2 linked regions of the Arabidopsis thaliana genome follow. The protein of the gene in region 1 purifies or fractionates together with the protein of each later gene. This does not show direct contact. Each region holds a gene or a part of one and is shown on either strand. Other genes may lie near its edges.

Region 1 (5,390 bases):
CAAATGCAATATAGAAAAAAAAAAAAAAACATAAAAGAAATATACGTATAATGTGGGCCATAGAGACGACTCACAGCTGTTACATTAGAAAATAATAATAAAAATATAACTTTCCAGGGAAGAAAAAAAAGAAAAGAAAAGAAAATCCAGCTGCTTAGCTTATCCCCTTCCTTTAACTAAACACCTGCAATTTGAAGAAACTAACAATCCGAGAAAAAATCGAACGATATCATACATTACATTTGTGTTGGAAAAGAGATCGTTCAAGTTCAAGAGAGAATCTAACACAATGTCAGCGAAAAGAATAGTACTCGAAGCTAAGAAAAAAGATACCAAAGAGAGACGACGAGAGGAGACGAAGAACACTGACGCAGGAGGGGAAATGGCGACTGTTAGACTTGGATTTTGTTTTTTTGTCTTTGTTTCGGATTCCAAAAGCTGATTTATTTAGTTTTGAAATCCAAAATGACGTAAGACACCGTCAAATATAACGTGCGTTTCAAGTCCGCAACGATGGACAGGTGGAGTTCATGAACATCTACTGTTATACTATTAAGCTGCTGACTTCGGATAACAGTAAAGTTGTGACTAAAATGTGGGCTTTCAAGGCCCACAAAAGGAATACTTGCCGTTTTCAGTAATTGCAAACTACACCTAAAAACTACAGTCTCTCTATTTTCCTTGCCGTTTTTGGTTTAGAGAAGAACACTCCTTGACGTTTTCATGCTAGCTAAACAAAGTTATACATAAAAACTTAAAAAGAGCCGAGGACATTTAGGATTGGCCTTGGACTGCTTGGACGCCAGGAGGATCTCCGCCGGAAATCAAACCTCGGATCTTGACATCATAGTAAACTTCTTCCACTCTTCTTAGGTCGTACTTCATACCTGTCACATGTCAAAATCGATTTTTTTTTTATGTAACCATCGCAAATGGAGAAAGAAGAGCAGTTAGAGATATGTATGACTTACTGTCGAATTTCTTGCGCAGGAAATCGTTCCTGAGATTGAGCATGCGAAAGGCTGCATGAAGATCTGTCAGGAAATTCATCACCTTTCTTGGGCAGTCATAGTCTCCTGCTGTCACTCGATTAACCACGTACCTAGGCTGCTCAAACATTGCATCACCCATTTGCATTTATCCAAAGGTTTTTCATAAGTTGCTATCAAGTAGGATGCTAAGGGGGAAGATGGAAAGTAAGATTTAGGGATAAAAATGATCTTACCAAATCGTTTGACATGAAACAAATTCCTGCAAAGTATTCAAAAAGCTGAAGATCAGAGAATATAAAAGCAATGTTGCGATTCATAAAATGCTCGTAAGGCATATTTGATCTATAGATATTGGCCTTCCAGAGCAAATATGGGTTCTTTCTCAGAAACTTACCAGTGAGATAATCTTCTGTCTCCAATCCAAACTCCAAACTGTTCACTGAAGTACAATGAAGTGGAATTAGAAGAGCCATAATGGCAGATGAATTGACCAACACCTTGTTCTGTTTATTTTACTCAAAGACAATTGATTTGACAAGATAACAAAACCCAGATTTGAAACAAAACGACACTTGGGCAAATATCTATTCTACACCAACGTAATGAAAAACCAACCTTCCAATTATCATCCATCCATCCTAAGGGAGAATAACTGAGTTCATGGGAAACGGCAACTAATAACTCTATTGAGGTGAAAAAATCAAATCTTAGCTAAATGGTTGACACTACAGTGGATAAAATGCAGACTGAAACAAAGCCTAAGGACAAAATCAATAACAACGAGCAAGAAAAGGTAGACTAATTAACATACTGATAAGAGAAGAAGACTAGTGGCAAACTGAATCTGATTATTGAGAAAAGTAGAAAACTCGTTCATTTAGTTTTTCCAACTGAGACAGGTCAGGCAAAAGGAGGGTCACAGGATAACACGTATAGTATGTTGGAGTCATGAACGGATTTCAAATTGATTGCCTACTGCCAGCTCAGTTGTTACCTATTGTGGGAAGGAAGTTTCTATACAAAAGTTTGTGAGAGAACTAGCAAAACAAAATAAGGTTTTATTTATAGTGCAACCACTAGGCCATGATATGTATTTCAGTATTTGGAAGTAAGGAAAATAGTAAATTGAGATCCAGAGACATACACCCAAGTTTTTCTTCAGCTTCGGTATGCACGAGAAGAGTTCCAGTTTCTAGCCAGTGCATAAAAGCAAGCTGGGAGACCACTGCCTGTGTTTCACTTCTCCAGTCTCCATGGTACCTACATTACAAAAACCTTTTAACAAAAAACCATTGCAAATAAAGAAAATCTAACTACACATAGCTTTCAAACTTACCTATAGTATTGTCCAGGACACTCCTCAAGAATTTCAGCAAGCCGACCATAATACTGCTTCAAATCAACGATTTTTTCCTTAGCTTTCTCGATAACCTCTGATCCATCAACAAAACGAGCAATCTATATTAGTAACAACCAAACACTTCCAATGAATTTCTTAAAAGAACAAAGGCTATGTGTAATTCAATATTCATTCTTTTCTCAACAAGTTCTTCATTTTTAGTTACTTCCCTTCATAGAGAACTTCATCACCAAGTTCTGAACCCATCAAGCCATTTCAAACATTTAGCTAAAAGATGCAATTTTTAACCTAAAGACTAATCATTTACCAGGAATAGGACGCGATTGATGAACGAGAAGAAGATTAGCTTGAATAAGCCTAGTAGCAGACTCAATCTCCATAACCACAGCACGAATCTGCTCTCTCAAAGCTGCAGATTCTTCCAATTGAACACGGAAACTCTCGAACTGCTTCTCAAGCGAATGAGACACCTGACCATCTCCTCCCGCCATAGGAATGTAGAAAGAAGAAAAGGAAGAAGTCGAACAGAAGGGAAAGGAAGATGAAGGAGACACCGAGTTTCTATGCCGGAGAGGATTGGAACGGCGAGGAGAAGCGTCGCCGGAACAGAGAGGAAGAAAATGGAGAATCGAAGAAGAAAAGGGCTTAGGGTTTATCAAACGAGACGCAGTGATGTGAACGTTTCGAAACGCCGAATTCATCATCGTGTCGTGTTTTTTAGTTACGCCGCTTCCCTATTCTCTTTCCGACATCATCTTAGTAACCAATTAAACCGGATCATATAAACCAAAGAATCGTAACTGAAAATAAACCGATTTCTTTGTATATCATTCTCTGTATGACTCTATCTTACCAAAACCGGTTACCATATAAAGAAAGAAAAAGCATGATGAATAATCACCATTATCTACAAATAAAAATTACAAAATTGGAATTCTAAAATCCCTTCTTCTCTAATTCTATAAACTACTTATATAACTCATTTAATATTTAACGTATGAAAAATAGAAGAATTTTACAAAATGTAAGCTTTTTAATCATGTGTAATTATTAGATTATTTCTTCTGGAATGTAACCATGCAGAAATAAGCTATGAATCGGCATATTAGTCCCATGAGAACGAGAACAATGAGACACAATATCCAATCACTAAGATCATATCCGTTTTGAGACAATGAACTGCATCTAGTCACCACCCACACTCCAGAGTACCTAACCCAAAAAAAAGAGTCCAAAATCAAATTTTCTGAATTAAGATTTGATTATGTGTTAGAAGAATTAAATCTTCAAACTTTCTACCTTTGAGCATTGGAAAGGACAAAGGCTTCGAGAGTCCATTTGGGGTAGCAAAAGCTTCCGAGATACTTAAGGACCATGCTTTCTTTATCTTGATTAGCGATAAGAGTCATAACAACGGGGACTAACACCGACAACTGCAAGAACATAACAGCAAATTCAGGTACCATATGGTTAGTGAAAATTTTGGTTCCTTCATATATGAATTATGAGAAAGTGAGGACAAACCAATTGTGCGGCGCTAGGACTGTACAATATGGCAAAAATGTAAGCCATGCCTGTTACACAGTAGACCAAGCATACTAGTACAATGTAGTTGTCTTCGAAACTAGATCTCGGGTTGTTGAAGAAGTAGAACATGGACAAGTACACTAAAGGTTTCATAATTGTGTTTAAATGGTCCATTGTGTCTTTAGCCATAAAATGTGCCAAACTGCTAATTCCAGCGGCACTTTCTCTCCAATATTGTAATTTATCTACAGAGAATGATCTCAATGCCGAGATCTTACACAAAAGAGCTACAAAAAAAGAAAGACATACAGAAAAGAGCTTAGTTAACGTTCCAAAAATCGCGAATACTAGTAAATGTAAATTAATATTTGTGTACGTAAGAAACTTACAGACAGCTATTATGGTGTATGTGTAGCCAAGTGTATCGATTGTCTCGTCGTTCACCTTCGCAAGAGTTCCTAAACAAGCTCCCGCAACTAATAATATTAGGAAATCTAACGCTTGTAGTCTTGCTTCTCTAAGCCGTTGTTTTCCAACCCTGAAATAGATAGACTAAAGTTTTAATGTACATATGAAATTAACCACAAAATTCCATCTATCAAATCTAGAAAAATCATACCTTCCAACAAAATATCTATATTGTCGACCTACGGTAGGAGTTACTCGATTAGAATTGTCATGAGAATTCGAGTAATTGTGTTGTAACTGATCTTTTGTAATCTCCACATTAGTTTTCACATCTTGCCATAGATCATTACTAAAAGAATTATGAGTGGAATCCTCTTGAGCTGATCCAGTTGACGAGGAAGGAAGTCCATCACAAAATTTCAACATATCGTGAGGCACAGGGTAACCATTGTGCAGCATCCATCTCACAGGAAGTTGTTCTATAGTTATATCACCATCTGGTTTCACAATGCCTTCAAGAATATCTATATAATGATCAGGAGGATTGACACGATCGGGAACCGTGATTCCGATATCAGCAAAATATTCTTCTATTTTTTTGACTGATCCATGGTACACGGTAAGACCACCTTTTGCTAGTATTATCATGTCATCGAACATTTTGTACATTGTATAACTAATAAGAGGAAAAAACCAATTATTAAGCAAAAAGTATTTCTTAACATAAAATTGTAACATAATTCATGGAGGAGATAACATACCTGGGTTGATGGACGACCATACAAATGTTAACACCTTCAAGTGCTTCACGTCGAAGTGCTCTAAGAAGTAATTGTGAAGATGCACTATCTAAACCTGTAGTGGGTTCATCTAATATCAATAGAGAAGGTTCCATGACCATTTCAACACCAACGTTCACACGTTTTCTTTGTCCTCCAGAGATTCCTCTTTTTTCTATCGTACCAACCAACGAGTCTCTTACATGTTGTAATCCTAAGCTTTCAATCACTCTTTCAATGATCAAAACTTTGTCTGCTTTTGACATATAAGCACTTAATCTGCATGTAAAGAAACATATATAAATAAATGATATGCAACATTTT
Region 2 (4,460 bases), about 14 Mb from region 1:
GAAGACAGCAACTCCTCGCATTCTTGGACTAACTCAGATTCTACCAATAACTTCGAAAGAGTGGTTTCGGATTTTGTCATAGTGATATGAGCCAAAGCTTTTGCTCTTGCTTTTGTAAATGGACCCTCTGTTATCTCAGTAATGATTGAATTGCAAAGAAGTGCTCAAGCTTAAAGAACAAAGAGATTTAAAGCAAGCTTCCTCTTAACCCAAGTCTCTCTTAGAGGCTAATTGTTGGAAGTTGTGTTTTCATTAGCATAAAAATCCTTTATATAAGCCATGAAATCTTAAAAATAAAAAGGAAAAACATCAAAACCCAATAATCATATCACACAGATTGTACTATTGTGGTATTGCTTGCACATAACTCTATATATAACTAGATTATGAACATCTTAAAATGTGAGATTTTTCTCTATTTTTATCACTTTCTTTACAAAAGAAAGATTTATGATTTCAAAATAAAACTCTATCTATGAATGATAGATATAAATTTATAAAAAATGTCAAAATCCTATATAAAAGTACCAAATGTCGAACTATAATAAGATGCATTATATGTAGCTGCATAAAAGATAAGAGTATCTATATATGTTTCCTCATTAAGCACAAACAAACAGCAAGAACCAAAAAATGTACTTTCTGGATTACGAAAGATCTAGAAAAAGTGAAGAAGGGCCAAAATTATTAACTTGAATAATAAAGTAATTGCTAGATTCTATTATAAATTAGCTTCCATTCAACAAAAGAAAAGTTTTACATCTAGTTCTAACCATTTGTTTCTTAAAAGTCTTGCAGCATACAGATTTAAAGTTCCTCAGAAGTAAGAAGTGGCTAAAATTCTCTGAAGATAAGTCCATACTAAAACGATCCTACTTGTCGCAAACACACCAACCTTAACAAGAACTTTAAAATGTGTCCGAGAGACGGAAAAGACCACTCACTTTTAATCATTCGACATCAGCAGCTCCCAATAGGTATGATGTTGGTGCATTATCTCCAAGCAGTGGAATATACTCTAATCCTCTCACGTGAACGCTAAAGCAAGCTAATAAACAAACAAACAAAAAAGAGTTACAAAAACGTATTGGTTGGTATCTAATAGTGTGCGGATATGAGATTTGTGCATACCGTTCTCTATTTTGATCACACTTTGAAGCATCACTTCCATCTTGGATTTCATGTCATAACTGTCATCCATCTTTGGCACAACTAGCATTAGTTCCCTATGAATCTGTCGAACAAACTGACAAATCCTCTGCGCGAATTCGATTTCACCGTCTGATATGCGACCAATTGCCATCCGCATTAGCTCTCCCGTCAAATCTGCAAGCTGTGCAAGTAACAAACAATAATCAAACATAATTCAGAACTCCAAACAATAGAGAACATCTTTGACAGTAAGTATTAACCATAAATAAAGATGGTCTAAAAAATACCCCAAGAATATAGTCGAGGATATTGATCTGCAACGGCTCTAAAGAAGGGTCACTAAGTGGTACAAGCGTTGTGTTAATCTCATCGAGAGTACATAGCGTCCCAGACAAACAGAACTTATAAAACGTTGCAGCTTCAACATATTCCTGCACCTGTAAGTTACACAAAACCACAAAACATATCAGTTAAACCATTAACCAAAATCGTACCAAAAGATGAATGATTTTCCGTTTCACAAACCCCTGGGGAATAAGCACGTCTCAGCTTCCAAAAATCAGTCCCTTGAAGCTCTTTCATTAGCCGGGCAAAATGTTGATCCCTCACTGCTTCTAAATCCTTCCCTGCTTTCTCCAATACCTCCTCTTTGTTGTCTTTACTGAGCCTGCCATATAACAACATAGTAAACAAAACAAACAAACAGTATCTTGATGAAGAACACAACAAAAACACACAAAATCTTGATGAACACAAACAAAAACAACAGAGGTGTTGAAATTACCTGTGAACCTGAAAGATAACTTTTTTGCTGTTCATTGTGATATCACGACTTACCTTCACCACTCTTTCTCGCTTCTCATTCTACAAAGAAACAATCATAGAAACCAGATAAAGCCTCCTCCTTTATTCTCAATTCGCTATAGAATCTATTACAAAACCCAAGTTGCAACATGAAAGATCATTTCTTTAGTTGTCTAAACCTATAAACCTTACTTAAAGGACTCAATCCCATGACGCAAAGGTTCAATCTTTATAAACAAACAGATAAACCCAGGAGAAACAATGGAGCAGAGGAAACACTTACGAAGTTATTGAGATAATCAGCGTAAGTAGAGAAAGCATCTTTCATTGAGGATTCAGTACTCATCGTCCTAGCTTTCTTAACCAAATGTTCAACACCACTCTCTGCAACTACACAAACACCAAAACCATCGTTACTAATCAACACTAAAGACCACACAAAGCAATAGATATATGTAGAAGTGAGTGTGTATACATACTTTGATGGAGTCTCTGAGGTTTTAATTTGGGAGCCATAAGCATAAAGGCTACTCTTTGGAACGCCGATGAAGAACAACTCAACATCTGTCTGATTTCTCCGATGCTCACTCGAAGCCCAAAGGTTTATTTCGCGATGCTTTAGTTTGAAAGTTAAATATTAAACGAGAGAATAAGGAGACATCAGGTGCTGTGGTGTAGTGGTTATCACGTTTGCCTTACACGCAAAAGGTCTCCAGTTCGATCCTGGGCAGCACCAGTTTTTTGTAATTAGGATTGATTGATTCATTTTTTCTCCACGGTTTTGAATGGTATTTTTAATTAAGGTTAATTTACAGTATATTGTTTTTTTCTTTTCCTAATTTTGAATGTGTTCTACAACCTAGCTTATTTTATGTACAAAAAGTGTTCAATAAAGTGCATAAATCAATTTGAGATGACCAACATTCTTGTAAACTATGATGGTAGATGTTAGAGAATATTTTGAACTAATTGGATTTGAGTTTAATACTAATTTGATTTCATAATGATAAATGAGCATTTAGTAATTGTTGGTTTTACGTTTAAATGGTAATTCCTATATAGATGATTAGTTTTGTTCCATGTTCAAAATATTGTTAGTCGTTAATTAGACAGCCGATGGGTCCTAATGATTACTCGGTTAATCGAAGAATAATCGAAAATTAGTTTTAAAATTATTTTATATATCTTAGGTTTACATACAATTTATGTTATAAAATGTCACATAATAAATTATGAGTCTTATAATAATTTTATGGATATCATTTTAGAAAAAATGAAAGCTAAGTCTATTAAGCAAACATATAACTATATTTGGTTGTTCCTCAAACTTATACGTTTTTGTTCACACAACATATTATCTATTTGTTTACCAGCCAAAATTTATTAAATTTTCATGAGCCAAAATTTACTCATCAGTGTGACTTTGCTGCCAAATATTTCATAAACCACCGTGAAACAATGATTTAGAAAATGTAACTCTCTAGAGAAAAAATATATGTTTTCTTTCTTAGTGATGAATTGTGTAACCTCGACTGTCATTCAGATAATTTTCTTGTTTTTTTTGTTTTCTCTAAGTTTCAGTTTCAAGTGTAGTAACTCTCAAACGGGCATGAATCAACAAACACTTTATATTATGTCTTCCATTTAAAGTAGTATAATCATTTGGATTATGAATTGTTTTTCAACAATTTATGGATCATGACTTTTTTTGTCAATAATTTATGGATCATAACTTTGATGATATATGACTGTTTATATGTATCTAGGTTACAAAATTAAACAAATTTACAATACTTAGTGTTATCATATGGATTAATCAGATTATATTATTCATTGTCATTAGATGGATTTTTGAAGATTAGTCAGTCAAAAGTATGCAAAATATCTTAGCATGATGCGAGACAAATTCAATAGGTGGGTTGGTTTAATTTGATTTTCATAAATGACAATGGTATTGTTAAAAAAATAAATAACAGGTGATCCCCAAAACTTGTAATCCATAAAACATACATATTATACTTTAATTTATTTTACAAATGTTTTTTTATATATAACTAACAAAACAATAATATTTGTGATGACCAACTCATAATCTTATTCTATATATACTTACTGTAAAATATATACTCTTTGGCGTAATAAATTAAGAAAACTTAAAAATTAAATATCAACAAATTAAAATAGAATTTTTTTTCTCTCTCGCAATTTACTGCTGGTTCAATCCTAGTTTTTAGCGGATGTTATTTTAATTACTAAGTTTCGCGCACAGAAAAAAAAAGTTATTTATCTACTATACCTCATTTCTAAACTAAATCACTATGCATAAAAAAAAAACTATAAGAAGACATATTCGGCTCATAATTTCAGAAAAAAAAAACTTGACATTAGTTATGCATGTGATATTATATTATATACTTTCTATGTGATATATACTTTTCTTTTTCTTAATATAGATAAAAAAACTCCAAAAGTTTTTAAATTGCTAAATTACTCTAACCAATTAT

What was found.
Region 2: the proteins of AT2G37020 (region 1) and AT2G03780 fractionate together in Arabidopsis thaliana (co-fractionation; one large-scale study listed by BioGRID). This does not show direct contact.

Annotation. Positions count from the first base shown.
Region 1 is NC_003071.7:15,544,177-15,549,566, reverse strand, and holds AT2G37020 (Translin family protein), read right to left. Parts: upstream 3,154-5,390; 5' UTR 3,057-3,153; coding exon 2,660-3,056; intron 2,426-2,659; coding exon 2,329-2,425; intron 2,253-2,328; coding exon 2,137-2,252; intron 1,432-2,136; coding exon 1,387-1,431; intron 1,252-1,386; coding exon 1,226-1,251; coding exon of another isoform or gene 1,178-1,225; exon of another isoform or gene 1,108-1,177; coding exon 972-1,107; intron 888-971; coding exon 775-887; 3' UTR 530-774; downstream 1-529. Other genes in the region: NAP12 (non-intrinsic ABC protein 12), read right to left, coding at 3,408-3,564, 3,652-3,785, 3,877-4,166, 4,269-4,417, 4,499-4,963, 5,049-5,351.
Region 2 is NC_003071.7:1,151,766-1,156,225, forward strand, and holds AT2G03780 (Translin family protein), read right to left. Parts: upstream 2,558-4,460; 5' UTR 2,521-2,557; coding exon 2,436-2,520; intron 2,404-2,435; exon of another isoform or gene 2,347-2,403; coding exon 2,240-2,346; intron 2,017-2,239; coding exon 1,937-2,016; exon of another isoform or gene 1,837-1,936; coding exon of another isoform or gene 1,820-1,836; coding exon 1,678-1,819; intron 1,590-1,677; coding exon 1,440-1,589; intron 1,334-1,439; coding exon 1,132-1,333; intron 1,049-1,131; coding exon 951-1,048; 3' UTR 681-950; downstream 1-680. Other genes in the region: AT2G03770 (P-loop containing nucleoside triphosphate hydrolases superfamily protein), read right to left, coding at 1-80.